2 linked regions of the Canis lupus familiaris genome follow. The protein of the gene in region 1 purifies or fractionates together with the protein of each later gene. This does not show direct contact. Links are inferred from orthologs where the notes say so. Each region holds a gene or a part of one and is shown on either strand. Other genes may lie near its edges.

Region 1 (15,682 bases):
ATTTTGGGGGCAGCCTGGGTGGCTCAGTGGTTTAGCACCACCTTCAGCCCACGGCCTGATCCTGAAGACCTGGGATTGAGTCCCATGTCAGGCTCCCTGCATGGAGCCTGCTTCTCCCTCTGCCTGTGTCTCTGCCGCCACCCTCCCCCCACTCCGCCGTGTCTCTCATGAGTGAATAAAATCTTTTTAAAAATCCCAAATTCTAAAAAAAAATAAAAATAAAAATAAAAAAAAATCCCAAATTTTCATTACCAATTATAATTTGTAGCCCAGTTTCATTCTAACCTTTCAAAAATATAGACACTATCACATTTTTTGTCATAGCTATATCAATTCTGATTATCTATATTCAAGAATATACAGAATCTGACACATAGCAGTGTAAATCTCATCACTAGTCAGTTCCTGTATAAAACATAGTATCGTTTGCGTAACAACAGCAGTTTAATTTGGAGCTTCTTGGTTAAACTAATATACTTTGAAAGACTCTGGTTCACTTTTTCATGTTCAGTTAAGTATAAATTTTACCAAAATTGTCCATTTTCCTTGGTCCAAACAGCAAAATGCTCTTAACATATCACTTTGATGGGACATAACCAATAATCCAATAGAATTTATATGCAAGACCATCACATAAATACTACTTGTAGGTTTATAGGAACACATTAGTACCAGTTCAGTCTTTTTGTCCTTGAACATGGATCAGTTTTTCTGAAATTCTGTCACTTGAATATTGTCAGCATAGTTTCTCACTTCTAAGAACAATGAAACTTTAAATGGTGTCTAGATGCACTTTAACTCACGATTTGTCTATATTCTTTAAAAGAAAGTAAATGCCATTTTTCAAGTCCCAGTTAAGTCTTTTTTTTAAAGATTTTATTTATTTAGTCGAGAGAGAGAGAGAGAGAGAGAGGCAGAGACATAGGCAGAGACATAGGCAGAGAGAGAAGCAGGCTCCATGCAGGGAGCCTGATGTGGGGCTCAATCCTGGGACCCCAGGATCATGCCCTGGGCTGAAGGCAGGTGCTCAACCACTGAGCCACCCAGATGTCCCCCAGTTCAGTCTTAAAGCATGAGTACACATATAAACCTGACAAAATAAAGTAACAGATAACATTCTCTGTTATCAACATTCTTTTTTTAAAAGATTTTATTTATTTATTCATGAGAGAGAGAGAGAGGCAGAAACACAGGCAGAGGGAGAAGCAGGCTCCACGCAGGGAGTCTGATGAGGGACTCGATCCTGATGTCCCAGGATCATGCCCTGGGCCAAAGGCAGGCGCTAAACCACTGAGCCACCCAGGGATCCCTCTGTTATCAACATTCTTTTTTGTTGTTGTTGTTATCAATGTTCTTGAACACTACTTCAAGCACTTTACATATTTTAAAAACTAATTTAATCTTTATAACAAGCCCCAAAGGGTAGGTAATTATCTTCATTTTACAAATGAGGAAATTGAAGCAGTGAGAAGTATAGTAACTTGCCCAGGGTCACACAACTATTGAATAGTGAGGTTGAAATTCAAATGTAAGCAGTCTGGCTCCAGAGTCTGTACTCTTAACCATGACACCATCCTGCTTCAGGAAAACAAAAACCACTTTTCTCTCAGCTCTATTACTGCTCTTCAATTTCTGTGAGTTAAGTTTAAACACATAAATATATTTCTGGGTGAAGACATTCAGTAAACATTTATTGAACTTATATTGTGTATCAGACACTGTGCTAAATAAGTTCCTGAGGATATGAAGTCCAGATACAGTGCCTGCCCCCAAGGAGATTGCATATGGTATAAGTTTCTAGTTTGAACATGCAGTATGTATTTAGGAGAGAGAGAAGTACCAAGGTGCCCAACAAAGTAAACACAGTTTCAACTTTGGGAGCACAAACAATTATTTTTAATGTAAATACTATTTTTATAAGGATTTCTACATTTTTAATCATCCTTTTCATATTTTGGGCCCTTGTCCAAGGTCATATACCTAATAAGTAGCAAAGCTAAGATTTGAATCTAAGTCTGTCTTACACCATTATGTTCATTCTATGCTTCCTACCAGTTGACCCAGTTTTTTGTTTTTATACCTCATCTTCAGAATTTAAAATAACTCGAGAGCAGTCTCGCCACCACTTCTTGAAAACTAGCTGTTAGTATTAATGTTCACTTATTAATTATTATTATCTTCTAATCTCTAGGTTTAGGGTATAATTAGCTATATCTACTTGGATCTGTAATTGAGAGAGTATGTTAACCTTCCATTTTGATAGATTTTCAGCTTCCCCTGGCTTTTGTATTTGGGTTAAAATATCCTGAATTTTGAGTGGTAAGTGTATATAATTTTCCAAGTCAACAAACCATCCTTTCTAAAATAACTTCCCATGGGTATGAGGTCCCACAAGGGTGCCATATTAAGATATTTAATCTGAGTCTTGACACCCCACAATTAACATGGAACAAATTGTCCATCAGAGTTTGGACATGAACACTCATGTTACCTGAGCTGTGGTTTTCTCAATAGATAATCCTTGCTCTTTTGACAACACATCTGGGACTGAATTTCAGTGAATAGTGTTAACAAGTAATTTTGGGGTTTGGTTTCTCAATAGATAATCCTTGCTCTTTTGACAACACATCTGGGACTGAATTTCAGTGAAAAGTGTTAACAAGTAATTTTGGGGTTTGGTTTCTCCACTAAACCATAGTATTCATCAGTTGGGAGAATATGAAAGGTCACAGGTTTCCTAACTTCAAACCTGTCTGGTTTTACCTGTGCATCCATTATTTTTCTAAGTTATGTTTTTCAAGATGTGTTGTATCACCTACCATAAAACTATTTGCATAAAAAGTATTACTTTTATTCCACATTTTCCTTTTTGAATTTCTAGAAGACATTCTACAGTATGGGAGTGACAGTGGTGGTAAAACAGCCAGCAGGTTTTCTTCTATTAAGATATTAATGATAGATTTGGTACAGTTCTATTTTTTTGAAAGATTTTATTTAGTTATTCATGGTAGACCTAGAGAGGGAGAGGCAGAGACACAGGCAGAGGGAGAAGCAGGCTCCACGCAGGGAGCCCCACGCAGGACTCGATCCCGAGACTCCAGGATTGCGCCCTGGGCCAAAGACAGGCGCTAAACCACTGAGCCACCCAGGGATCCCCTACAGTTCTAATTTTTGTTTGACCTATGAGTTACTTAGAAATGTCTTTAAATTTCCATAATGTTTTGGGATTAGAAATGATCTTTTGTTATTGACCTCATATTTAATTCCATTGAAGTCAGAGACCCTGATCTGTATGAGAATGGTTTCTCTGAAATTTACTGAGACTTATATTATAACTTAGTACATGATAATTTTTGAGGTAGATGTTCCATTTGTACTTGAAAAGAATGTAATTTTCCAGTTGGATATAGATTTCTATATATGTCCACTAAATCAAGCTTATTTTGTTGTTGAACTTGTCTATATATTTATTAATTTTTTATCTGCCTGTTCTGTCAATAACTGAAAGAGGTATGTTAATCTTTCATTTTGATGGTTGAATTTTTAATTCTTCTTTGGTATACTTAATCTTCCTTTATATATTTGGAAGTGTTAAATTAGGGCATACAGGCTTATTTACTCTATGTACTGATTTTCTTTATGTGTTATAATGCTTTTATTATCTTGAAGTTTTATTTTTTAGATGTTAATGTAGCTACATCACCTTTCTTTGGGTTGGCATTTACCTGGTATATCTTTTTCCATCTTATTTTCAATCTTTCCTCATCTTTATGTTTTAGATGTGTCCCTTGTAAAATGGCACTTAGCTGGATTTTTAAAAATGTTATCCAGTCTGTTAACCTCTGCATTTTAATGGGTGAGTTTTGCTCATATATGTTTTTTTTAACGTTCACTAATAACATTGGAGCTTGTTTTTACCATCTTCTTTTTGCTATTTGTCTCATTTTCTTCCTATGCTTTCCTTTTTGTCCTTGCTTCAAAAATTTTTTTTCTTATCCTGTTTTCTTCTCCCCACTACTGATTATGCAAGATTGTATCTCAAGCTAACTGACTGGTGACAGGGTTAGGGTTTGAAACTACCCATGGTCAGAGGTGGGGTTGGGGTGAGATGGCTTTTCTGAAAGGAGTTATATTGGCAAGTTATGGGGGAGAGGAGGCAGGTGGCTGAGGATGTCATAGGTGGTGGATTCTAAATCCTTTTTCTTTACAAATGTGAAACAAGGATGTCTGATAGGAACTGGAGGAAAGGGAAGTGGGAGTATGAGATGAGACTAATGAAGGCTTAAAAATAGAACCTGAAGCAAAACTAGGTAAAGCAAAACTAGGTGAAAACCTGAACTAAGAACTGAGGTTGGAGACCAAGAATTGTGTAGGTCTTGGGTATAGGTTCAAACATTGAGTCATTTGGAGTCCAGTTTGGGTTGGAAAGGAAAACAGATCAGCAGGAGGCAAGGAGACCAAGAGAAAATGAAAGATGGACTTAAGAGACTGTGGTCTTTTTTAAAGATTTTATTTATTTATTCATGAGAGATACACAGAGAGAGGCAGAGACACAGGCAGAGGGAGAAGCAGGCTCCCTGCGGGGAGCCCGATGTGGGACTCGATCCTGGGACTCTGGGATCATGCCTTGAGCTGAAGGCAGATGCTCAACCACTGAGCCACCCAGGCGTCCCACGAGAGAGACTGTGGTCTTGAAGTGGTTGAAGAACAGGTCTAGTGGGAATGAGCTATGGTCAGAAAAATGGGGATTACTGAATTTAAGATTTTAGGAGGAGGCAGTTCTGGTTGATCTGGTCCATAAGTGAAAAACAAAGAGAAGATATACAACATTAGCAGTTCCATTTTCTTATGGTGCTGTATTTATTTCCTCAATGATGTTCTTACATCTGTCGGTCTTAATATTACTTGGTCTCATTATTGTGTCAGTGTGCCTGTTTTATCACTTATCATTCCCAGTGTACCTGTGCCAGCCATCCTTGGTCTTTAGCTGCTAGGCAATTGGTAGATACCTATTTTATTCACGAGCAGCTGATATTTTAGCCAGTGCTCCATTCATAATCACATAGAGGAGAATCCATTTGCACAATGCTTTTGATTGCTCTGATAAACATTTTACAATAGTTTTGGCCATGATCCTGCCTGGACAGAGCCTGTAGAGTGCTAGCTCTAGAATCAGATTGCCTGGGCTTGAATCCCAGCAACTTTACTTACTTTGTTTACTACTGGGCAAGTTAACCTAACCTTTCCTGGATCCTCATCTATAAAATAGGGATAATAATACTGCTGCGTTCTTAGGGTTGTGGTGAGGATTAAATTAATATATATAAAGTACTGCATTGCCTGCCATTATTGTCAATTCTCAATAAATGGAACTGATGGGGTGATGATCAGCAGTAGTGGCAGCAGGTGCAACACCTTTTTCACAATATCATGTTAGGTGCTGGGACAGATACAAAGAAGAATATTGAAAAAGCCCTTGTTCTCAGAGAGTGTAATATTCTCCTTGGTTTGAAAACTAAGAATTCTTTTTCAAGATTATCTAAGAAAGGGTCCATGAAGGAAACTTAGTGTCTTACAGTTCAATAAAGACCAGGAAATAGCCAAGTCAAGAAACTGTTGATGGAACCTTATAACTATGCTGAGTTGTTTATAGTCTTTATTGTCCTGTAGGTAATTGGAAAAAAAAAGTGGAAAAGGGCTCATGGTTTAGTTTTAAGGGAGAGCAGAAAAGGTAAAGATGATCATCATTTCCTTTCAGCTTTGTCTACCCTGAGCACTTTGACTGCCATGACTACCAAATCTGTACTTTCAGATACAGTCACTCTTCCTGAGGACCAGCCCTGTGCCTCCAACTACTTTCTGAGCCTAATTACCTGGATATCCTGTATGTAGCACAAACTCAATATGACTAAAATGAAACTTCTTGCTTTACTTCCATACCTGTTTCTTCTCTTATAACTCTTCTCACTGTTAGAATTATCACTAATCTATCAGTTGTTAAACCAAGACAGGTAAGGTAAGGCATCTTTGTGCCTTCTTCATCCTCTTAGTCACTCCATTCTGTTACTTCTGCTTCTCAAACTTGATTCTCTGCTCTTTGTCTTGCTGCCCTGGGTTACGCCTGCCCTGTAGCAGATTCAGCAAGTATGTGTATTGTTAAACATGGATTTCAAACATTGTGATTGGCCCTGTAACATACAGTATTTCACTTTCTTGATAACTTTGTGAAATATATCATTTTGCACATGAGAAACTAAAGGGTGACAAATAAAATGATTTGCCAAGTTGGGTAGAGGTGCACTTGGTAAACCTAGATTTTCTTTTGTCTGGACTATTACAATAATCCCCTGTCTCCTCTGAAATTTCTTTTTTAGGACTTAAAAGTAAGACTTCTTTACGTAAAAAAATCATAACTATATACAGTAAAAAAAGTGAAAGTTGCCCCTCCCAATCCTCCACAAGAGAAACCAATGATCGTGGTTTTTGTTCCAGACTTTTTTCTCTGCATATACAAATGTATAGGTAAATACTTTACCAAACAAATCATTCAGTATAGTCTGGCAACTACTTATTTTTTCTACTCCAAGATGCATTTTCAAACAGATCTACCACATTTCTTAATGGTTGCATGGTATGCCATTATATGGAAGTATTTTTTTTAAAGAACTTCTTTGTTTTGTTCTTACAAAGTTACAGTAACATTCTTGTATATATATTGTTCTATGCACATTTGTATGAATATTTCTATAGGTAGATTCTTAGAAGTGGTATTGCTTGGGTAAGGAATGCACATATTTTACAGTGTGTTATGTACTTCCAGATTGCACTTCAGTTTGTCTTTTGAATCAGTTCTTTTGTACTAAAGCTAGAGTAAAATGGATTTAATCATTTAATTTCCCAACATCAAAAACAAAGCAACAACAAACATGTTTGATGGACTTCTATTGTCTATGTAATAAATGCAAAAATTCTTAATTTTCAAGAATGCAAGTTATAGGGGTGGCTGGTGGCTCAGTCAGTTAAGCCTCTGCCTTTGGCTCAGAGTCCTGGGATCATGCCCTACATTGAGGCTCCCTGCTTAGCAGGGAGTCTGCTTCTCCCCTCTCCCTCTCCCTCTGTGTCTTTTCCTGCCTCTCTCCCTGCTCATTCTTTCTCTCTCTCTCAAATAAGTAAATAAATAAAACTTTTAAAAAAGAATGAGAGTTATAAAATTTAGCCCAAACCTATCTTTCCTACCATTTCCTCCCACCAACAAAAATATGCTGCTTTATAAGGAAAAATTCACCTCTTCTGTGAAACCTTCCATGTATACAGGTCATTCTCTTCTCTCTCTATGCAAGATAGAATTAGTTGCTTCCTTCTTTAGGTTCCCATAGCATTTAATTTATTATCCATCTGATAGCGCTTAGTGCATTGTACTATATTTATGCGTATCTGTGTCCCCTACTAGTCTGTGAACTTAAGGACAGGAATTGTGTCTTAGTCATCACTGTATCCCTAGCACTTTGCACAATGCACGTCAGAGTGAGTGCTTAACAAATGCGCATGAAATGGGTGAAGATATTCTTCAGGTAGTGGTAGCAATAAGAACTTTGGGAGATAGAGTAGGTGATGGAACTTTTAGAGTATAGCATAAAGCTATCTGAGTCCTGAGAACACAGAAGCTGGTCAGGAAAGGAAAAATGGGCTTCAACTGGCAGAAGTCCCCATGTGGTTTTCTTCTCTACTACAGAGACCAGCTGTCTGATTATTTGGTTTAATAGATTTGGGACTTGGGAAAATGTAAAGTATTGAAAATTGGATGATCTAGGATTCACTTGCTGTAGGGAGAGTTCAACTCAACTGTTCTGTGCTTATTCCAGACTAATGTGCTCATGCTGAAAGACTCAGCCTTTTTCCAGAGTCATGAATAAGTTATCCTTCTTGAAAATCCAGAGCTGCCTCACTTTCAAGGGCAGGATTCAGGTGGGAGTAGGAATGGTAAATAGGTCAGATATTTCTACATTGTCTTTTTGTCCTGGCTTAAGGGGAAAGTAGCCTACTAAGAGGTTCTAGGGCTGTGGGACTACTCTGGAGTAAATTATCTGTGTGAAAAATAGTCCTTATCTTATTTCAGGCAACTGTGGTGGCTTTCCTGGTCTGATTGATTTGAAGAAAGAAGAGTAGAATAAAAATATAGAATAAATCATGTCAGAGATACTTGACCTCTCTTTTCTGTCTGAGATGGAGAGGGATTTGATCCTCAGTGTTCTACAACGAGATGAGGAGCTCCGGAAAGCAGATGAGAAAAGGATTAGGTAAGCATTCCAGAAAAAGCATGGGTGCCCAGACCTTTGACCAATTTTATCTGGACCTTTCCTTATACCTCCCATGTGACTTTCAGAAGAACTTATGTATCAGTATACAATTCCTCCCTTGGGCTCTGAAGTTGTTACTTCTGTAGAACCAAATTTTAATTACCAAACCAAAGTCTTACTGTCTACCCCTCAACAACTCTCCATGCAACCTATGCAGACTGTGAACGCACTTGTGCTTCTCTTTGGGGATTGGCAGGCGACTGAAGAATGAGCTACTGGAGATCAAAAGGAAAGGGGCCAAGAGGGGCAGCCAATACTATAGCGATCGGACCTGTGCCCGGTGCCAGGAGAGCCTGGGCCGTTTGACTCCCAAGACCAACACTTGTCGGGGTTGTAATCACCTGGTGTGTCGGGACTGCCGCATCCAGGAAAGCAGTGGTACCTGGAGGTGTAAGGTGTGCACCAAGGAGATGTGAGTATCACCTGTGGAGAGAGGCAAGGAGGCCCTGGCTGTGGGGAGAATTTCCCTCCTCGGCCTTTGTTAGTTGAGTGGCAAGAGCCATTTTAAAAAAAATTCACTTGTCACTTTCCTTTATTCCTTCTCAGAGAGCTGAAGAAGGCAACTGGAGATTGGTTTTATGATCAGAAAGTGAATCGCTTTGCTTACCACACAGGCAGTGAGATAATTAGGATGTCCCTGCGCCGCAAACCTGCAGGTACTGGCCCTGTCTGGAAATGGTTTTGTTTTGTTTTGTTTTTGAGGTACTTGACGTCAGTGAAAGATCCCTTGGCTTGGAATCCTATTATATATTCTTACTAGTGGTGTCTTTACTTCATGGGCTCTGTGGGGAATATAAAGATTATATTGCCATCCCTTCTGCAAGTGGGATGTGTTTCCGTCCCCCTCCTCTCATTACCACCACTCTGCCATGCTTTTGTTTACCTCGAAGTGAATAAAAGAGAGACAGTGGGACAGTCCCTTCTTCATCAGTCACAGATGGATGATATCTGGCCAGGAAGAAGGATCGTTCAGGAGCAACAGAAGGAGCCCAGGTAAGAACTAGCAATCATTTACAGAGATGCTACACATCCTTTGAATTCTATTATTTTAAACTTTGTTCTATTTATCAAAGAAGAGCTGTTTATGACAGGAAAATTTGGAAAGTATAGAAAAGAATAAAGAAAGAGGGGAAAAATCTATTGCTACCACTCACATGTTAACATTAACATTTTGGAATATTTACTCTCTTCTTTTTAAGACCAATTTAAAGATGAATAAAAATAACACATACTCATGATTAAAAATTTAACCTGTACAGGAAACAATAAAGAAAGCAACGAATCACCCAAATTCCTAATACCCACAGTACTCATATGTGAAAATTATTTAAGGTATCACTTGTCTATATATGTAGGTAGAAGGATGGGTGGGTGGATAGACTGAAAAACCTGTATAATATTGGATCATAATATATACATTAAAAGCATGCTATTTAATTTTACTTGACTTTAACAGAATAAAACAGAAGAAATAAAATTGAAGAATTGCTCATCTTCAGATAAATGTTTCTTTACCATAAAAGATACTAATCTTTAACATCCCTCTAAGTTTAAGAAAAAAAATCATAAAATCTATTGAGTAGTCATTTTTTTCCTAGTGTCTTTTAGGTAACAGTTTTATTGAGATAGAATTCACATACCATACAATTCACCCATTTATAATGTATAATGCAGTGGTTTTTAGTGTTCACAGAATTGTGCAACCATCGCCTTAACTGATTTTAGAACTTTTCATCACCTTAATAAGAAACTCTATACTCTTTTAGCTAAAACTCCCAACTTCCTTATCCTTTCCCACCCCTAAGCAATCACTGGTCTACTTTCTCTATATATATATTTGCCTATTCTGGACATCTCATTTAAATGGAATAAAAGAATATGTGATCCTTTGTGACTGTCTTTTCTCACTTAATGTAATGTATTCAAGATTCATCCATGTTATAGCATGTATCAGGACCTAATTTCTATTTATTGCCAAACAATATTTGATTATATATTCGAATGTTCTATTGTATGTATATACCGCATTTAATTTATACGTTCATCTGTTGATGGACATTTGGATTGTTTTTACTATTTGGTTATTATAAGTAATGCAGCTATGAACTTTCATTATGAGTTTTTGTATGGACATACATTTTCATTCCTTTTAGGTAGATACCTAAGAGTGGAGTGCTGGGTCAGTCACTTAGTCATTTTAAAAAAATCTACCTGTTTCAATATTATCACTGTACTCTCTGCTATGAAAGAGAAGGAAATTAGGGGCACCTGGGTGGCTCAGTCGGTTAAGTGGCTGCCTTCGGCCCAGATCATGATCTCAGGGTCCTGGGATCAAGCCCCCATTGGGCCTCCTGCTCAGCAGGGAGTCTGCTTCTCCTCTCTCTCTGCCTCCTCTCCCCTGCTCGTGCTTATGCTCTCTCTCTCTCAAATAAATAAATAAAATTTTAAAAAGAGATTAGCTTTCTTATACTTTCTCCAAATACTTTACCCTACTCTCATTTTTTATACTCAAATTACTTTTACTTTGACAGCACTTCTAACATTTACATTCTGTTCTGCAACCATAAACCATCTGCCTGTTTTATCTGTTTAGTTTTTGTTCATATTTAACAGGAGTATACTTTTTTAAAAAAATTTTTATTGGTGTTCAATTTACTAACATACAGAATAACCCCCAGTGCCCGTCACCCATTCACTCCCACCCCCCGCCCTCCTCCCCTTCTACCACCCCTAGTTCGTTTCCCAGAGTTAGCAGTCTTTACATTCTGTCTCCCTTTCTGATATTTCCCACACATTTCTTCTCCCTTCCCTTATATTCCCTTTCACTATTATTTATATTCCCCAAATGAATGAGAACATATAATGTTTGTCCTTCTCCAACTGACTTACTTCACTCAGCATAATACCCTCCAGTTCCATCCACGTTGAAGCAAATGGTTAGTACTTGGATGGGAGGAGTATACTTATAACCTTGTACCATGGCTTCTCTGTATTTCTGAATTTTTCCTTTCATTTTTTTTTTTTGGTTGTTTGGATTTTATCACTGAGAAGTTCCTTCAAGAAGGGCTTGCAGAAGCAATATTTATTTTACTCTTTCATGTTAAGAATGCCTACCTACTGACTTAATACTTGAATGGTATCTTGGCTGGATATTGTATTCTTGAGTCACACTTTTTTTCCCTTATAATTTGTAGACATTATTCCATTGTCTTCTACTATTGAGTGTGACTGTGATAAAGTCTGAGGTCAGCAAGCCTTCTGTTTTTCTCCCTTGTAGGTAACTTACTGTGTGTATGTGTGTATGTACACACATGTCTCAATGGTGATCATTCTGTATCCTCCTAATATGTACCCTTGATGAGTTCTTTGTTCATTGCTGGAATATTTTTCTTTTTTTTAAGGTTTTGTTTATTCATGAGAGACACAGAGAGAGGCAGAAATATAGATAGAGGGAGAATCAGGCTTTCTGCAGGGAGCCCGTTATGGGACTTGATCCCGGGATCACACCCTGAGCTGATGGCAGATAGATGCTCAACCTTGCGCTGGGCCCCTTGGCTTCTGCTGGTTGGCATTCATCCATACACCAGCCAGCCTTCTCTGTTTCTGCTACTGCTAGAAATGTCCCTGTTACTGTTCAGACATTCTCTAGTACATTCTCAAACCTTCCTTAATTGTCATCTGAGAGTGGCCACCTCCTATGCATACAAATCAATCATTATAATTTTCCCCAAGAAATTCTGGAAAGAGGAAGTGGTGGTTGGGCTGGATGAGAATATTTCTGCTCTAATCACCAAGCCTCTCTTATTGATGATGTAAGGACAATTTCTACCAGCTTTGGGGGAGGGAATAAGAAGAAAAAAAGGGATACTTTGCTCTCCCCTTGACAGAGGTAATTGCCTTACCTGCTACACAATGTTTTTCACTCTCGACCTCTTACACTCTCATTCCTGAGAAACCCCTGAGTTGCTCTCTTTTCTGGCCTCATATTGTTTTTCAATAGGTTAAGGTTACAACTATTAATAAGCTAGGGCTTTTGCTCCGAGGCTGTCAAACTAGCCCTTTTCAAGTCTGTAAAACTTGTGTAGCAATTAAGAGATATGAAATCTCATATATTCATGTAAGTAGCTCTTCCTTTCATGTTTTTGCCTGGCTATAACTGGAGATGCTTTTAAACTACAAGCTTTTTTTATTAAGTAGAAAATATGCTTATTGAGAGGAAGGGCAAGATGCTCCTAGTGACCTGTCTAAAGAATCCCTTTTACCAAAGACAGCTTCTATCAAATGAGAGCAAGAATTTTACTGATTCTGAACAATGTAGGGGCAGGACCATAAAATCAGGACATTTTTTAAAATTGCCTTTTTCTTTTGTTTAAGGATCTTATTTATTTATTCATGAGAGACACACACAGAGAGAGAGGCAGAGACATAGGCAGATGGAGAAGCAGGCTCCCTGCAGGAGCCTGAGGTGGGACTCGATCCCAGGATTCCAGGATCATGACTTGAGCCAAAGGCAGACGCTCAACCACTGAACCACCCAGGTGCCCCTGGAAAATTTTTCTATGTCATATCCTCTGAGATTTTTTTCTGTTTTATTAGTTAAGTTTCCCACCCTAGGCACGTTGGATTTCTTATTTATTTATCCTCCTTTTCTTTTAGTATCAAATGCAAGAGAAAAGAAAGGTAAAAGCAATTAACTGTGATTAACCCAAACTTTTCCTCTATGCTTTGATTTTCAGCCATTTTCTTTCCTCCCCTTTTCCCCTTTCCTCTTGCTATATCTAATGTACTTTTAGAATGAATTATCTTGGGATACCTGGGTGGCTCAGTCGGTTAAATGTCAGACTCTCGATTTCAGCTCAGATCATGATCTCAGGCTCATGATCTCAGGGTCCTGAGGTCAAGCCCTGCATTGGGCTCTGTGCTCAGTGCTCTTCCCCCTCTGCTCTTCCCTACCTCATGTGCCTCTCTCTCTCTCTCTCTCTCTCTCTCTCTTTCTCTCTGTCTCTCTTTTTTTCTCTCTATCTCTCAAATAAATACCTAAAAAAGTGAATTATCTTGATTAGGTTTTAATTTATTCTTTGTTCTCAATCTTCCTTTTACCCCAATTTTGTTGTTTTTCCATCTTTCCTGTTTGCACTCTTATGCTTTATCAAATATATATTCTTATTGAGTTTCTATATAGTATAAAGCACTCACAAGCAATCTATTTTCTGAGGGTTATACTCTTCTCCAGAATAGTTCTTTGACCATCTTGCAAGTTGTTTCTATTTCTCCACCCCATGGCAATTTATAGATTTATCTGCCAGACCATTTCTTCTCATTTTACTCATGTTGAAGCTAGGAAGTTCTTCTGCCTATATCTTTTATTTGCTCTGATATAGTGTGTGAATTCTCCTTGACACCTCCTTCTCACCTCAACCTGAAACAATTTATCTCTTCCATACCCCCAACTGTACTTCAAGCATAAAATATTGCTTTCTATATACTTCTTTTATTGGAACCTAAGGGGAAAGCAAAAGGCAACTTGGGGGTCTTGGGGTTTGGCCTGCTGAAATTCTCTTAAATGTCCAGGCTCACATGGTCCAGCTTTGGATACATCATCTAACTCCTAGCAGTGCACTGAGAGATGACATACCCCAGCAGTCTTGTCTGCATCTGTTGATACCTGGGACTACAAATCTTGAGAACTTTTGTTTTCCTTGTCTTATTCCAGGACTGCCTACTCACTCACTTCATCTGTACATCTCTGTATTGGATGGAATTTTGCTGAGCTAAATCATTCTTCTGTCTTCTTAGCCATGACTTTTTGAACTTTATGACAGGAGCCTTTACTCCTTATTTGGTAGCTGCTGGTGGTTTTTTTTTTTTTTTTTTTGGCTTTTTACTTGTGTTTTTCCCCTAAATTTCCCTGAGCCAAAGGGAAATGACTTAATCACGTTTTGTATGATTGTTGAAAAGCACTATTAGAAATATGTAAAATGAGTCCCCAGTAACCTCACTGCTTCTGCCCCAGACTATTATTGTTAATGGGCATTACTAGTTTTGGTGATGGACTACCAGACTATCTAAATGTACAAATACGGATTGGATTCTTACATTTTTAATTTCTTTTAAAAAAAACTGTCATACTACATACATAGTAAATGGTAAAAACTGAAAGAGAGAGAATTTTAAAAACTCAATAGTATAGATAATCCAGTAGAAACTTGGCAAAATATTTGAACAGACACTTTGCCAAAGGCAAGATATAGGTATTGAATAAGCACATAAAAAGATGCTCTCAACACCTTTAGTTATTAGGGAAATATGAAAAAAATCATAATAAAATGCTACTGTATAACCATTAGAATGGCTAAAATTTAAGAACTAACCATACCAATTATTGGTGAGGATGTAGAGCAACTGGAATTCTCCTACACTGATGGTGGGAATGTGCAGCAGTGCAGCCTCTTTGAAAACCAGTCTAATAGGAGTTTAGTTAAATATCCTTTACCTTGTGTTTCACCCATTCCATTCCTCAGTATTTACTCAAGAGAAGCAAAAGCATGTGTCCGTGCAAAGACTTGTACATGGATGTTCATAGCAGCTTTGTTTGCAATAGCCAAAACCTGGAAACAGCTCAAATGTCTATAAACAGGTAAAGGGATAAATTGTGGTTTGTTTATACAGTGGAATACTACTCAGTGATGGAAAGGAATGAATTATTGATACGAGCAATAATATGGGTGAATCTCAAAATAATCATGCTGAGTGAAAGAAGCCAAACAAAAGAGAGGGCATACTGTATGATTCTGTTTATATAAAGTTCTAGAAAATGCAAACCAAAGAGTAGTGGCAGATGCAGATCAGCACTTTCTGTCTGGGAACAGAGGTAAGCAGGGATGAATGGATTATGAAGGAGTGAGTGGAAGCTGTTGAGAGTGATAGGAGTATTCACTAACTTAATTGCGGTGATGGTTTCACAAGTGTATGTACATGTTAAAATTCATCAAATCACACACTTAACCATGTGTTACTTATGTCAGTTATAACTCAAGGTGTAAAAGGAACAATTGTAGAAAAATAAAACATCGGCACCTCTCCATGTCTGCACTAAGGGTCTATCATTCTTTTTGCCATATGTATGGTGTTTCATGGTATGTATGTACTATGATTTAATCCACACAGCATTGGGTGGGTGACTCATCTGTTCTAGGCGATGAGGCCCCCTTTTTCCTTGGTGGATAAGGATAAAAACAACTTTTATTTTCTGAATCTGATTAACACATCTGACATCATCGGTCAGAATGTAATTTCTGAGACCTACTGCTTCTGGCTGTCTATGA
Region 2 (16,329 bases), on another chromosome or scaffold:
CCCCTTTTGGTCACCAGAATGTCAACCTCCATGAAATGCACTTCTCTATTGAAAGTCTACTTGACTCTGTTCTGTGAGTGATGTGATGTTTTCCCCACCTTTCAGCCACTTTGGAGGTGGTTTTCCACCAAGATGCAGGGGAATCTAGTGACTGGAATACCAGGCTGAGGTACCTGACAGAAATGGAAGTGCGAAAGGATAATTTTCTAAAAAAAAAATTGTGACTCTCCTATAGATATAAAAATGAGCACGTGTTAAAAATTATTGTTATCTCATTATTAATAAGCAGAACCAGTCAGGTGTTAAAACCATTTCTAAAAAAAAGAAAAGAAAAACATTTCTAAGAAGATCCAGCCAGGCAGGACTCAAATCAGGGATAGTAAAATAAACATGCAAATTAATGGGAAAGGAAATTGGGGAGGAAGTGTCTCTCCACCCGGCAGGGTTTATTTGCATGTCTATAAGCAAAAATTATTCTTCACCATAATCATTTATAACTACAGAGTTTATAAAATAGCTCCCGTTAAATCAAAATCAGAAATCCCTGAAGGGTGTCCTCAAAGGCAGGGTAAAATAAATTGTAACCTTTTTAAAAAAAATTTTATTTGTGGGATGCCTGGGTAGCTCAGTGGTTAACGGTCTGCCTTCAGCTCAGGTCTGATCCTGGGCTCCTGGGATTGAGTCCAGAGTCCTGCATTGGGCTCCCCACAGGGAGCCTGCTTCTCCCTCTGCCTATGTCTGCTTCTCTCTCTGTGTCTCTCATGAGTAAATAAATAAACTTTATTTAAAAAATTTTAAAAAGACTTTATTCTGGGGAACCCTGGGTGGCTCAGCGGTTTAGCGCCACCTTCAGCCCAGGTTGTGATCCTGGAGACCTGGGATTGAGTCCCATGTCGGGCTCCCTGCATGGAGCCTGCTTCTCCCTCTGCCTGTATCTCTGCCTCTCTCTCTCATGCTCTGTGTCTCTCATGAATAAATAAATAAAATCTTTAAAAAAAGATATTATTCTTCGGATTTTAAAAAAATATTTTATTTATTTATTTGACACAAAGAGAGAGAGCCAGCACAAGGGGTGTGTGTGTGTGTGTGTGTGTGTGTGTGTGTGTGTGTAAGCAGGCCATAGGTATTGGGGGAAAGCAGGGAGTCATATGCAGGATTGGATTCCAGGACCCCAGGATCTTGACCTGAGTCGAAGGCAGATGCTTAACTGAGCCACTCAGGAGCCCCTAAAATTTTACTCTTAAGTAATCTCCACACCCAACATGGGGCTTGAACTCACAACCCCAAGGTCAAGAGCCACCTGCTCCACAGACTGAGCCAGCCAGTGCCCTGATAACTTTTTTTGTTGTACAGAGGCATATAGTAAATAGTTTTAACTGTTGCAGACCATACAGTCTTTGTTGCAAATATTCATTGTAGTGAGAGTACACACTACAGAAACAAATGGGTAAGGCTCTGTTCCAATATAGCTTTATTTATGGATTCAGAAATTTTATTTTCATATAATTTTCATGTCACAGAATAGTATTCTGATTTTACCCCCAACCTTTTGTCAACTGACAAAAGGATGTAAAGACTGAAAAGGAAAAAAATGTTTCATTTGGGGTCTCAGAATTACAATTTGGGAGCACAAATTCCAGAGTAACCAGAAAAGTGTCTCCCTTGTGTAGGGAAAATAAGGGGTTTTTATGAGAAAGAAGGAAGAGGTAATTACATGACTTAGATAAAGAAAAAAAAATAAAACCTGCTAATTTGGTACTAATGTAGGAAAGATATTAGGGTTTGAAGCTGATGGCCAAGAAAGAATTCTTGAGACGTTTTTGGTGCAAAAATGTGATTTTATTAAAGCATGGGGACAGAATCCATAGGGTGAAACAGCTACACTGGGGTAGTGAGGAGTGGCCAGTTATATACTTCCAAGTTGGGAGGGGGTTAAGGGCTAGCTTAAATCTCTAAAGAATTTGAAAGCAGGGTTTCCAGGACTTTGAGGGGGCTAGCTATTGTTAGGAAAAGGCCATTTATTACTGTCTAATTAAACTTTAGTCATAAATAAATAAATAAAATAAACCTTAGTCATGAGATCTTTCAGATGTATATGGGTGGATCACATGCTTGGGGAATGATCGCCAACATGTATCTGGAGGGGTAGAGATAATGGAAGTTCCTGAAGGAATTTTTATGTTAAAGTAGACTTACAGGATCCTGGGGGGAGGGAGGGCCGGGCTACAGTCGCCTTTCGCCCTCAGCAAAGTATTATCATCGAGGCAGCTGAGTTCCTAGAGGAATGTCACCCTGCCTGTTTCAAGGACTTGTCAGTGGGCTGTAGGTAGTAAGGAAATTAAATGTTTCTTTTGCCTCTGTTTCTCACATCATTGACTACTTGAGTCACTTCTGATTATTATTTTATTGGTGCTATCAAATGAAACGGTCTCCCTGATATTTTTTTTAAGATTTTATTTATTTATTCATGAGAGACACACAGAGAGAGAGAGAGAGAGGCAGAGACACAGGCAGAGGGAGAAGCAGGCTCCATGCAGGGAGCCCGATGCGGGACTGGATCCCTGGTCTCCAGGATCACGCCCGGGGTCGAAGGTGGCGCTAAACCGCTGAGCCACCCGGGCTGCCCTCCCTGGTATTTATTAACTTTACTTTCTCCATATGATCTGAATGCCAAGTGCTTTGTTGAAATTTTATGGAGCAACTGCTTGTAAAACGCTGGGTGCCTCTGGCCCCAGTTCAAGAGTTCATCCGTTGGAAAGGAAAACGGAGCTTCCACACGGATTCTCTCACGTCCAGAAACGTGATACTCCTTAACACATTTAAAGAAATATAAGAGGGGGTCCCTGGGTGGCTCAGCGGTTGAGCGTCTGCCTTCGGCCCAAGGTGTGATCCTGGAATCCCGGGATCGAGTCCCACATCGGGCTCCCTGCATGGAGCCTGCTCCTCCCTCTGCCTTTTTCTCTCTGTGTGTCTCTCACGAATAAATAAAATCATTAAAAAAAGAAAGAAAGAAATATAAGAAACACTTTCACCTCGTGAGCCTCGCAAAAACAAAACGGGGATTTTACGGGGATTTGGACCGCGGGCCGCAGTTTGCGACACCCGGCTCCTTTGTAAGTCACGTGTAAGCCACGCATACGTTTCCATGGAAACTCGTACACCCCCCCCCCAACACAGGAGGTAAAACAGATACAGTTGTTTGTAGAGCTGCTGTGAAAGAAGTTATAGCACGTAGTGTGCCCAGAACAGAACCTAACGTTTTGTGTGTGTGTGTTAAGAATTTATTTATTCATGAGAGACAGAGACATAGAGGGAGAAGCAGGCTCCATGCAGGGAGCCCGACGTGGGACTCGATCCCGGGTCTCCAGGATCACGTCCCGGGCTGAACGCGGCGACAAACCGCTGAGCCAGCCGGGCTGCCCAGAACCTAACGTTTTAACCATTATTATTCTGGATCGGAAGTCAGGTACCCAGCTAAAGTGAGGAGCAAGGTCGACGCCTCGGTCAGGATCCTACCGGGGCGCGCGGCCCGCCCCCAACTTCCGTGAGGCTTTGCGGGATCAGACTTCCGCTGCGGGAGCCGCGGGAGCCCCCGCTCGGCTCCCTCTGGAATTCCGGGAGAAGCTGAGCGTCTAGAGGGCACCTAGGCGAAGAAGCGTGATTGGCCAGCTCCACACGGGAGGCGGGACAGCCGGCGTAAGGCTAGGCTGCGATTGGCCAGTAGAGTGTGGCGACGGCTGTCCATAGGCCAGCGCAGAAAGGGGCGGGGAAACGATGGTGGCGAGGCAGCGATAGATCTGCGGGGGCGGGGAGACGCCTGTTTGCGATTGGCCCGTAAGGTGCGGAAGGCAGGGCTTGGCTTCATTCCGCGATTGGCCCGGGATGGGATGCCGGTCTTTTACTGGTTAATACATCTCCAGCCGGCAAAGGGGGACGCCGAGCGGTCCGCGATTGACTGGTGAGGACTGGGGCCGGCGTGCCGATCACGAGGACCGCGAGCGATTGGCCCGCCCGGGAAGGGCGACCCTGGTGCCGGGGCCCGAGTTGCGGCGGGCTATGGCTTCCGGCGGCTGGCGCTGGCTGCGCGGCCTCCGGGCCGTGGGGCAGCCCCTGTTCCAAGGCCGTGCGCTGCTCGTCACCAACACGCTGGGCTGTGGTACTCTCATGGCGGCGGGGGACGGCGTGCGCCAATCCTGGGAGCTCCGCGCCCGGCCTGGCCAGAAGTTCGATCCCCGGCGCTCAGGTGAGGAGCCCTGGATTCCGGGGGACCTATGACCCCAGCTTCAGTTCCCGGCAGGACCCCTGACCTTGCGTGCATCCAAGACCCCCCAGAGCCCATGCTTAGGCCTCCGTCCCTTCTCTCCATCCCGGGGTCTCCGCCCTCGCCCCACCCGAGGTCTCGGTTGCCTCCTCCTTCCTGGTCCCTGTCTCCTCCGGACCCACTCCCACCCACCCGTCTCGTCCCCGCCCACGCCCTCGTCCGCTCCCCTCCCGCGTGCACGGAGCCCAAGCCCTGGGCACGGGAAGCCGCACCAAGGACATCAAGAGCTCAGCGTCTGGACCCAGCCACCCTGGGACTGCGCACTGGCCCCACATTTCCCAACCTGCTGTACCTGTTTCCTCCTCCAGAAAGCAGGGCAATGGTAGAACCCGCTCACAGGGTGGTGAAGGGGATGAGGACAGAGCACGAGAGAGGACCAGTGCCTGGCAATGGGGCTTGTGACGGAAGAACATACAGGCGGGCTGTGGGGCGGCTTCAAGTTCACCAGGGAGGGAAGTTAACCAGGGAAGGAATGGGTTGGGGGGAGTTGCTGGCCTCCCCCTGACTCTTGAACTGCTTTCAGCAAGCATGTTTGCAGTGGGCTGCAGCATGGGTCCCTTCCTGCACTATTGGTACCTCTGGCTGGACCACCTGCTCCCAGCATCTGGCCTCTCTGGCCTCCGGAACGTCCTCAGGAAGGTCCTCATCGACCAGCTCGTGGCCTCTCCCTTGCTAGGCATCTGGTATTTCTTGGGTAAGGAGCCTTGTGAGCTTGGGCTTTGCCTCTCCATACGTCAGGAGGGGCAGAGCCAGCTTTGTTTTAAGGAGGCTGAGATGCATTTCTGATGTGCCTCCTCTGTGTGGCTCTGGACTGGGTGCTAGGTCACAGTGGTGACAGGACAGACCCACTGGGGACAGGCATGAACAGCAGAATCAGACAATGGTGCTTTAGTGTAGGAGGGATGAAGCAGTACAGGTGGGGCTGTGGGCAGTGGTTGGGAGGGCTGCCCAGAGGAGAGGACACTCAGCTGAGACTTGAAGGAGCCAGCAGGCATGAAAAACTGCCTATGCAAAGGCCCTGTGGCTGAAGGAAGAATTGCTGAGGTTGGGGGTGACAGGGTGCAGTCATCCAGCCCTTGGCTCTGGGAAGACTGTCGCCCCCGCCCCAGGCTCAGTTTCCTCCTTTGTGAAAGACAGGGAATAAAACAGCCTCAGGAAGGGTGCATCTTCATCCTTTGGGGTGTCTGTTTTTAGAGAGAGGGAAGAGGGAGAGAAAATCCTAGGAAGGCTCCACAACCAGCGAGGAGCCCAATTCAGGCTCAATCCCAGGACCCTGAGATCATGACCTGAGCTGAAACCAAGAGTCACTTAACACTTAACCTGCTAAACCACCCAGGTGCCCCTAAGGGGATGTGTGATTACTTAGGACCTCTCCCTCACTGGAACCAACTTGTTCTGCCTTGTTTCTCCACACCAGCCACTCTGCTGTGTGTGGCCCTTCCCACCGCAAGGCTTTTAAACATCTTGGGCTATCTGCCTGGGACCCTGACCCTCAGGGTTCCTGCCCTATCTGCTCCGTCACCAGTACTCCCCAGCCTCTGATACTCTAATTTCTTTGTCTCCTTCCCAGGCATTGGCTGCCTGGAGGGCCAAACCCTGGATGAGAGCTGCCAGGAGCTGCGAGACAAGTTCTGGGAATTCTATAAGGTGGGCCGCCCACCCCCTGACTCCCTGCCCCTGACTCCCTGCCCCTGCCTCTCACAGCTGCTCCCCTCCCACAAGGGCTCCTCCCCTCACCACACTCCACCCCTCCCCGCAGGCCGACTGGTGCGTTTGGCCAGCTGCGCAGCTGGTGAACTTTCTCTTCGTGCCCACCCAATTCCGAGTCACCTACATCAACGGCCTAACCCTGGGCTGGGACACGTACCTCTCCTACCTGAAGTACCGGGTGAGCACGGTGGGCGGACCAGGCACCCAGGGGACTCCTCAGGGGCCACATGTGTAAACCCCAAATGGTACAGCTCCACTCTAGGGTGAGGTCCTCCTGGGCCTATGACAATCTGCAGACCACAGCAGGTGGGTGGGGAGCTGGTCATCGGCAGCGTGAAGACCCAGCCCCTGTCTGCTGTTTGATGTGACATCGGCCAGGTCCCTGCTGCATCTGTCCCCCAAGACTGAGTTCAACCACCAGACAGGTGGGTGAGGACCTGCCTGGTGAAGAGTTCAGAGGGGTGAATGGGGTGTGTGACCAGACCCCTCTTGCACGGACAGATCCTGGGCCCATCCACCCCTAAGCTGTGTGGCCCTGGGCACCAGGCAGACGGAGCTGCCCCAGCCCTCCTGAGTGGATGCCAGACAGGGCAAGACTGACTCTCAGCAGGCCAGGCCTGGTCCTGGCCCCTCCCCAAACCCTAGGCATCTGGCTGGGCTGCCCCTTCCAAGCCCAGTACAAGACCTGTTTCCTCATCTGGAACACAGCCATAAAGATGGTCATCCAGGAGCCCCGTCACAGCAGGCCTCCATGAACCAGTGACAGATGGCCCCATCTGCAGCACCCAGCCCGAGCCACCCAGTCCCAATCCCCCAACCCCTCAACACCACTGTGGGCTGGGCCCTGGGCCCAAGGTCAGGGACACACTCCATTTCCTTGAAGTAGGGCCCAGCCTGGAGAATCTGGAGGCTTAGGCAGGGCCAGGTGGCCTCCAGTCTCATATTCAGGTTGCAGGTTGTGGAAATTCTATTAAATTCTCTTGACATTGAATATCCTGTGGATGACCAAGGCCACCGCTAGCAGGCTGGCACTCAGGGACACAGCGTCATCCATTCGCTTTATTGGGTGTGTGTAGTGTTGTCATGACATCTCCTGGGGATCTGGGGGGCATGTTTGACACTCATGACGTCAGAACAGGCCTGGTGTTGGGGGTGTCCCAGGGTGGCGAGTACCCACAGCAGCCCTCACCTCCAAAAAAGGGTAAAACTTTGGGGGTGAGGAGCCAGGCAGGCCATTACCTGGCTCTGATCTACCCCAGGGTCCATGCTGAGACACCCCCCACCCCCACCCCCCAGTGGCCTTGGCCCACCACGGCCCAGCCAAGAGGCTGGCAGACCCGACTACCTCCCACCACCCAACAGCCTGCCCTGGGGTGTCATCGGGCCCCCTCTTCAAAACCGGTAACTGTTGATGGGGGTGACTTTTAAAAAAGGTGGGGTCTTGAGAGGAGGGTGAGCAGTGAGTTCACAGGGCCACGACACGCCACAGCAGAGTGGGGACAGGGCCGTATGTACAGGGTGGGACACGGGGTAGTTGGGGAGCCCGAGCCCCTGGGGGACATCTCCAATAAATAAATAAATAACTACGATAATAAATAAGGGTGAGGGGCTAAGTTGGGGCAGGGGTCTCACGCCCTGGGCCAGTGGGGACTGGATCAGGCCCAGGGGGTGGGCAGGGGTGGGCAGGGGTGGGGCAGGGCAGCTCTCAGCAGGCGCAGTCCTGGTGTGGAGGCGCCTGCTGGTCCGTGAGCTGTGGGCCCTGCTTGGCACCCGTGACTGCAGGGTCAGCCGTGTCCAATGACTCGGACATCTTCTCACAGATGACATCCACCAGGCGCTCAAAGGTCTGCTTGACATTAATGTTGTCCTTGGCGCTTGCCTCAAAGAACTCAAAGCCTGTGGTTGGGGAAGGAAGGGATGAGGACTCTGGTTCCCCCTCCACCCTCCTGGGGATGCTTCTCTGAGGGCAGAGAACATCTGGAGATTCCCAGTGCCAACCACGTTAACGGCACCAGAGTCCTGCAGGGAGGCGACACTGGACTAGGTCAGCCCTAGGTTGCTTGTACTCCTTCCTTCCCCCTAAAACTGTCCCCATCTCGTCTCCAGGCCCCCAGCAAGACCTCTTTCCCCACTCCCAACATCCAGCCTAACCCGCGCACTGGCCCTGGCAGTATCTGGCACATCCCCCTGTGCCCTCCCTTGCTTACACACCCTCTGGCTCCCTGTTGCCCTTGCAGGAATCCCAGATCGTCGGCATGTGGTTCAGGGTGTGCATTTCCCCCAGGTAAACCCCACATTCCAGCCATATAAAATTAATTATTTGCCAGAACACTCAGGATCTTACCTACCTCTGTCCTTTGCCTGAAGTTTGGTCTGACCACCCGTTGCTTCAGCACCAGATCCAGTGCCGTCCTCCAGGTCTTACCTACACCAGGCAGAGCTTGCCCCCCTTACACTCCCCCAGCCCAGATCTCCCCCTCTACCCCACAAAATGAGGCTTCTTGGGCTCAGCAACCCAACATGAGGCTAGCAGTGAAGATATCTGAACAAATCAGTAACTGCACCACGAACTCCTAGGCATCTGTCAAGATCTGGCTCAAGGCCATTTGCAAACAGTGTGAATTGTCTGGATTCAAATCTAGACACTGTCCTGGTTTTGCTGTGAGATCTTGGGTGTGTCCCCTCCCCTTTCAGGGCCCCAGTGTCCCTTTCTTAGGCTGCAAGTGTGCAGCCCCACTGGGCACTCACCAAGGTGGTCAGCCAACTGCCGGCCACGTTCCGACGACACCACCCGTTCATCCTCCATGTCACACTTGTTGCCCACCAGCAGCACCTGGGCATTGTCCCATGAGTAGGTCTTGATCTGGGTTGACCTGGAGGAGGCAGTGACAGGGGTGGGGTGGGGTGGGCTAGGGCTGGCAGCAACCTAGCTCCACCATCCTCTAATCTCCCCCTTGCTCACCACACTCTAGCCCCCCACCTGCAGATTATTGCTTGGATTTGGCCAGCTCGGTCCCTCCTTCCGCCCTTTGTCTTGCCAGGAACACAGACCCATGGCTCCCTGATCTTGGAAATCCCTTTCCTGTAGAATTTCCCACCCTTCCCGGATCCCTGTCCCCCGGAGGCAAGAATTTCTCCATCCTCTGCCAATTCAGAAATGTCCTTAAAGTTTATCACTACCTTGGGCAGAAATGTGTTCATATAGATCCTTCATCCTGTGCAAACCATCCTTATATTTTCTGACCCCTCCCTTATTTTTTTTTTGCCTATAAATTGACAATTTCATTTTTCCACCTGAGATGAAACCCTCTTTCCCCCTGGTTGAGCCAGTGCCACCACGTTTCAGTTATTACAGACCCGAGAGCAGGTCTGAGAGTCCGATATTGTGATTTACATTTCTGCCAGGGGAGCTGGGGCTTTGCATCAAAGCCAGCTCTGAAGATGGTCTGAGAGCCGAAGGGAAGGTGTGCTCACCAGTCCTGCACAGCGTTGAAGGATTCTTCATTGGTAATGTCATACATGAGGATAAAGCCCATGGCACCCCGGTAGTAGGCTGTGGTGATGGTCCGGTACCGCTCTTGCCCTGCTGTGTCCTGGGGAAGAAAAGACAGGGGTCAGGGGTCAGCCACCATTGGGTGGCTCAGTGGTTAAGCGTCTGCCTTTGGCTCAGGGCTTGATCCTATGGTCCAGGATCAAGTCCTGCATTGGGCTCCTTGTGGGAGCCTGTTTCTCCCTCTGCTGTCTCTGCCCCACCTCCCCATAAATAAATAAAATCTTTTTAAAAAATTTAAAAAGACAAGAGTCAGGCCCTGTACATAAGCTCCTCAGTGGAAATGAGCTCCAAGATTGTCCAGTCCAGCCTGCTTGAGGACCAGAAGGAACAGGGGGCTTGCCCAAAGGCAAAATGGGCCAGGGGAGCAAGCTGCCCACCTACACAGAGAACATTGTGCTCAATTGTCCTCCAGAGGCGGGTACCTAGAGAATCATTTCCTCACTCATTCAACGTACCTGGGCATTGACCTGTGTGTGCCACACCCTGGGCTGAGCACCAGGGACACAGATGTTAACAAAATGGACAAAAATCACTGCCTACTGATTACCCAATTCTATAGGAAACAGACAATAAACACAAAAAGGAAGAAAACGTATCCTATGTTGGAGGTGATGAAGACTGAGAGGGAAGATAAAGTCTGACAAAGATGGAAGGGCAATGTGGGTGAGGGTATGGTTTTGAGAGCTGGATGAGGTGAGGAGGGAACCATACGGGGACTGGGGGGAAGGACAATCTGGGCAAAGGACAGAGCCTGGAGCAGGGGCCCTGAAGTGGGTCTCTGTATCAGTGTGCCTGATACATCAGAGGAACAGTGAGGCAGCGGAGGTGGGAGACAAAGCAGGCGAGGTCTCCCGGGCCAGGTGGCCCATGGGAATGCAATGAACAGAGAAGGGACAGCTCTGGCTTGGGATTAAACAGGTTCCTTTGGGCCCCTGTGGGGCTAAGGGAGGTGGCCAGTAGACCCTGAGGAAGGGAGGAAGGTTGCCTGTTCCTGTCCCAGGGAATGAGGCTGGGGAGGGGGGGGCCAAGATCCGGCTGAAACATCATACAGACTCACATGAAAGAACTGAAAGATAGGGAAACTGAGGCACCAATCCCAGTGATGCTCTCAGTAATACACAGAGGAGAGGACCCAGCATTTGCTCCTTCCCCACTTCCAGAGAGAAGTGATGAGGCACCCATGGAAGGACCCAGCATTTGCTCCTTCCCCACTCCCAGAGAGCAGTGATGAGGCACCCATGGGAGGACTCTGGGCCTCTAGCTCCTAATACACAGTAGGCACCTGATAAACACCCAGTGTGTGAGTGAATCCAAACAGGAAATAGGCAAAGCTGGGGCTGCTTTTCTGGGAAGGCAAAGTGATAGGGACGGAAGCTCCCCAGCTGGACCCACCCAGATCTGCAGCTTGATCCTCTTGTCGTTGCGGTAGATGGTCTTGACCTTGAAGTCGATGCCCACAGTGCTGACAAAAGCAGGCGTGAAGGAATCGTCTGCATAGCGGAATAGGAAAGAGGTCTTGCCCACGCTGCTGTTGCCAATGATGAGGATCTTGAACATGTAGTCGAAGTTCTGGTCCGAGGACTCCTTCTGCCCATAGCGCGAGTCTGTGGCGGACGCCATCTGGGTGTGCAGGGTGTAGGTGAGCCTGAAGAGTCCCCTTTCGCACCCAGCTGCCCAGGCTCCAGGCAGAGGATACAGAGAATTCCAGAGCTCTTGAGAAGGACTAGTGTTTATAGATTACTCTTATCTCATCAGGAGCCCCTGTACTAACGGTAGGGCCCACGGCAAAGGGCGGGCTGTGACCTTGAAAGGCCAAAAGTGTCAAGGGAGCAGCTCAGAAAGATGGACATGGGGACACCCCTTGGGCCCCCTCCAACATGCCTTCGCCCTAGGTCGGGCTGTAATCCTAAACCCTAAGCTGAGCGGGCAGGGCTGACTGCAGCCGGCCCCGCCCCCCATCAATCATTCATGTGTCTCAGAAGGGTGCCGCGCGGGCGCACGTGCACACGCGTGTACGACCCCGCGGGGATGTGCGTCGCAGCACCCCCTTCCCCCAGGCTCCCAAGCTAGGAGGGATCGGGCTGAGACAGCTGGTCATGTGATAAGGGCGGGGCGTGCACCTGCTCACGTGCACGCAGCAGGGAACACACCCGTACACGCGTGTGCACACGAGAGTCGAATACATTCGGTGCACAGGAAACGAGACGTAGACACTTGTCCGCACACCAACACACATTTACACACATGCCAACCCACCCGTGCGCAGGGTGCCCTCCACCCATGCAGGCGTGTACACGTCACCCACGCGGACACGCAGTCCCGTGCACGTATGCACACGACGTGCAGGCACACGCACAGTCCATGCGTCTCCTTTCACATGCGTGCAGCACGCACTCACCGGGGCCGGGACACCCGCAGGGTCACCCGAGCATACCCCGGTACATAAGCAAAAGGGTTTGCACACAGACCCGCTGGCACCGGCGGGCGCGCACACGCGTGTTCACACCGCACGCACGCACGCGCACGCACGCACAGAGCCTCCCGCGCGCACAGCTTCCCGCAAGGCACTCGCCTCCCCTCCCCCTCCGCCGCAGAGGCCGGGGGTGGGGGGTGGGGGTGAGGGTGAGGACCCGGCAGGTAGGGGGAGCCAGGGCCCTACCCCGACAAGGGCTGTGACCGCCGCATCCTTCCCCCCCATTCAGCGCGGCCAATCTCTCCCCTACCCCGGCAATCCCATCAGTCAAATGAAGGTTATGTAGGTATCCGGAGAGGCGGCGAACCAGGCCGCCCGGGAACTCACCTTGCCCTGCACCGATGCGGTGGTGACCCTAGCGGCGGCGACTCTTCGGCGGCGGTGGTGACGGGGCCCCCTGCGTTGATGTGGGGCTGCGCGACAGGGGCAGCGGCGGCAGCAGCAGCGGCTCAGGCCCCTGCAGTCCGCGGTGACGTCCTGCAAAGAGTGAGGCGGGGCCTCACATGCAGATGCAGCCGTGACGCCATCCTGGGGCGGAGCCGCGCCTGGAGCAACAGCCCACTGACGCACGCAGAGCCAGGAGGGGCGGGGCCCCCGCGCAGATTGACGCACGAGTGGGGCGGGAATCAGTGTGCTCACCCAGTAGCACGCGGGGGAGGTGCCTACTTGCTCCGCCTCCTGCCTGCGTCAAGGAGGCGGGACTGAATGGCGCCCTCTCACTGGCTTAGGGCCCCCGAGCGACGGACTGATCAGCCAATCAGAGCCTATCACTGTTCTCCTCCTGTCCAATGGTGGCTCCCAGGTGGTTGCAGGGCTGGGAGGTTGAGGCCTTCGCAGAGCCTGGGTCTTCAGGGGGCGTTCCCCTTCCTCGCCCCCTCCCACCTTTAGTCTGAGATTTTCGCGGCCCCCGCCGGGTCTTGGGTGTCGCGACCTCTGGTTAAAAACACTATTCCCAATTTTAGAAGAGGAACAGACATCTGAGAGACGCTCAGTGCCCCCCAATCACGGGTTCAAAATAAGTACAAATGAAGAAAAAGCCAAAATAGGGGTGAAGGGAGACCCCTCCCAATTTCTGGAAAGTGTAAGATCCCCAAAGAGGACCGGGTGGGTAGATGCCCGGTCCTGTTTGCTGAGATGAAAAAGAAGAAAGAGGATCTAGGGATCGAGGGAACTATTTTCTAGAAAAGAAGGAAGGGGCTGACACAAGAACCCCTCCTCTACCTGCGCCCCCCCCCCTTTCCGGAGAAAAATTCGAAAATAATGCTGAAGTGGGGCAGAGAAATGGCTTCCCCCCCTAAGTCCCCCCACAAACCTGCAGGAAACAACAACAACGGGGAACAGGGAGGGTCTCAGCGAGGTTCAAAGACCCAACAAGACGTCTCTCCAAGACGGGGCTGGGAGATGCTTTACCGACCCTGGTTCCTGACTGAGGCAGGGGACCGATCCCCTCCATCCTGGGGAAACAAGACTCTGCGAGTGCAGACTTTGGGGGCTGCGGTGCTCAGTCGTTTACTCTCCCAAATCTTGAGGGAGAAATGTCAGAATTGGGGGGTCGTGCGGGAGAATGAGCCCCTATGCCCCATTGGGATCCCTGCCCCTCAACTCCGCTCCCCAGACCCGGCAGGAGGAGCGTGGCCCCAAGAGAATTCTGATCTTGCTCCCTCCCCAGGCGCGGGGCGGCGGGGGTGGGGGGCGGAGGGGTGCGTCCTGTTTATAAAAAGCTCGCCAGCTGCGGAGGCGCCTAGAGACCAGAATAACTTAGCGCCTGGAGCCCGCCCCCCGCCCCCCCCCCCCCCCCCCCCGCCCCCTGGAAGAGCCGGACGTCCCTTGCGTTGAGAAATCTATTTTTTATTAAGGGTAGGATTTTTGTTCCTCTCCTCCACTCGGACTATAAGAGTATTATGAACCTACTGCGGAGAATTGGAAAATTGAGAAAAACATAAAAAAATAAATAAATAAAAATAAATTCATCTCCAACCTCCCCCCTGCAGGGAGGCTGGCAGTCGGTGGGGGCCCCCAGCACGGCTGGCCCGGAACCGGCCCACACACACCCTGGTGGAGGTGAGGACCTGTAAGGCTTCCCAAAAGCATGCTTTGGGCTTTGGACGTGCATGGCACTGAGAAATACCTGTTGTCATTTTTTGTTTTGTTTTTCCAAAGGAGGGAAGCCCCCCCCCCCCAACAATGTGCATCAGCTACTGCACAGAGGAATTTGTATTTCAAAGTAAAAATAGGGAGGCCTGGGTGGCTCAGTGTTGAGCATCACTTTGGCTCAAGGCGTGATGCCGGGGTCCTGGATGGAGTCCCCAGTCAGCTCCTTGGAGGGTGCTTCTCCCTCTGCCTATGTCTCTGCCTCTCTTTCTGTGTCTCTCATAGATAAATAAATAAAATCTTTTTTAAAAATAAATAAAATAAAGCAAAAATAATGCAAGGCCTTTATTGTTGAGAATCAATATTCTGGGACCCCTGGGTGGCTCAGCCGTTTATTGCCTGCCTTCGGCCCAGGGTGTCATCCTGGAGTCCCTGGATGAGTCCAGCATGGAGGGACATCCACATCCTGCATGGAGCCTGGATCTCTCTTTGCCTCTGTCTCTGCCTCTCTCTCTCTCTCTCTCTCTCTCTTTCTGTGTCTTTCGTGAATAAATAAATAAAATATTTTTTAAAAGAGAGAGAGAGAGAGAGAGAGAGAGAATCAGCATTCCACTCTGGAATTAGGGGTCGTTGAATGGGGAACTGCTGCACAGCCTGGGACACCAGAGCTAGTGAGAAAGAGGCCTTAAACCCTTCCAAGTCCCACCCCACTCAGAGTCAAGTCCAGACTCCACCTCACAGCCCAGGCCCTCTAGCCACCCACCACCCACCAGCTACTTCCTCATCTCATCTTTCTCCTCAGGTCAGGTGGTCAGGTGCTCCCTCTGGCTCCAGGTGCAATCCTGCCTCAAGGCCTTTGTGCCCACTGTTCCCTCTGCCTGGAGTACTGTTCCCCAACTTCCTTCTAAGCCTGGCTCTCTCATTCTCTTCAGATCTCTGATGGGCACCCGCCTCCTTTCAGAGGTTCCAATTTCATGTCACCTCCTTATCACATCACCATATTTCTCCCTCCTGCCACATCTGCTATCAGAAATAATTATTTGAGGGTTGCCTGAGTGGCTGAGTTAGTTAAGCATCTGACTCTTGATCTCAGCTTAGGTCTTGATCTCAGGGTCGTGAGTTTAAGCCTTGCATTGGGCTCTATGCTTAGAGACACAGATTAGTGTCCCCAGCACCTAGACCTGTGAACACAGTAAGTGCCCTGTGATGGGATGACATGTATGAATGAATGATTGAAGAGAGGGTGACTTTGGCCAGAGAGGTTAGGGAAGACTTCCCTGAAAAGAAGTGGCATTTGAGCAGGAACCTGAAGGAGAAAGAGCTGGCCAGATGGAGAGGTGAGGGAACAATGTTCCAGAAAGGGGGGACAATGAGTGCAAAGGCCCTGAGGCTGGAACTCACTAAACAAGCTCAAAGGACAGCCTCTTTCCAGCTCTGTGAAGGAGATGGGCCCGACAACTTTTGTTTCCTTAACAGAAAGGGCAGAATGAGGCCCTGAGTGTCACCCTAGGAGTTTGCAAGGGCTGAAAGTTCCAAGGGACCCTGAAGACCTTCTCCAATCCTCCTCGGCAGGTGTAGAGTGGGCCACAAAGGCGAAAACTGTGCCCCTCAGTAAGGACCCTAAACAGGAGAAAGTGGGGGACCTGGAACATACAAATGACTTCACTCGCCCCTCTCTGGGCCTCAGTTTCTACATCTGTGGAATGAGAGAAGAAAGGCAAAGTTAACATGCACTTCAAGCAGGCAGCTCAGTTCCTGGCTCAGGACACTCTTCTCAAATGTTACCTGTTGCAATTATGTGATCCTCATAAATAGCCCATTTTACCCATGAAACAATAAAACCTCAGAGAGGTTAAGAGACATGAAGTAGTCAATATGCATCTCTAGGGGATACTAAGGATAGTGTGGTGGACCTGGCCCAGACTTACGGGGTTTGGGGTGTAGAGAGGGTGGCGGACATGTATCAGAATGCCCAAGAACTTCCACCAGTGCCAGCCTGGGGTGGGGGTGTGGGAGTCAGGGAAGACTTTGCAGGGGAAGAGATGCTGAGCTGAGACACAATGGGTGAGGATGAGGATGGAGGAGGAGCAATCCAGGTGGTGGGCACAGTGTGTGCAATGGCCCTGAGGTGGGGCCATAGCTTGGAGTATGGAAAGCCAGATGAGTAGTGGAGTGCAGTCA

What was found.
Region 2: the proteins of SYTL4 (region 1) and RAB3A purify together in Homo sapiens (affinity purification with mass spectrometry; 3 studies listed by BioGRID and IntAct, counting the BioPlex papers as one, with this or other methods). This does not show direct contact. The link is inferred for Canis lupus familiaris from reciprocal best matches to the Homo sapiens genes SYTL4 and RAB3A.

What each region holds. Positions count from the first base shown.
Region 1 is NC_049260.1:74,961,249-74,976,930, reverse strand, and holds part of SYTL4 (synaptotagmin-like protein 4), read left to right. Parts: intron 1-3,779; 5' UTR 3,780-3,856; intron 3,857-7,862; exon of another isoform or gene 7,863-7,965; intron 7,966-8,116; 5' UTR 8,117-8,187; coding exon 8,188-8,297; intron 8,298-8,553; coding exon 8,554-8,769; intron 8,770-8,903; coding exon 8,904-9,013; intron 9,014-9,247; coding exon 9,248-9,350; intron 9,351-15,682. UniProt on the Homo sapiens protein: Modulates exocytosis of dense-core granules and secretion of hormones in the pancreas and the pituitary. Interacts with vesicles containing negatively charged phospholipids in a Ca(2+)-independent manner.
Region 2 is NC_049241.1:45,201,861-45,218,189, reverse strand, and holds RAB3A (ras-related protein Rab-3A), read right to left. Parts: upstream 12,559-16,329; 5' UTR 12,385-12,558; intron 11,205-12,384; coding exon 10,977-11,204; intron 10,109-10,976; exon of another isoform or gene 9,625-10,108; coding exon 9,506-9,624; exon of another isoform or gene 9,482-9,505; coding exon of another isoform or gene 9,437-9,481; intron 8,905-9,436; coding exon 8,780-8,904; intron 7,928-8,779; coding exon 7,737-7,927; 3' UTR 7,066-7,736; downstream 1-7,065. Other genes in the region: MPV17L2 (mpv17-like protein 2), read left to right, coding at 4,057-4,243, 4,845-5,015, 5,892-5,968, 6,081-6,209, 6,283-6,399. UniProt on the Homo sapiens protein: The small GTPases Rab are key regulators of intracellular membrane trafficking, from the formation of transport vesicles to their fusion with membranes.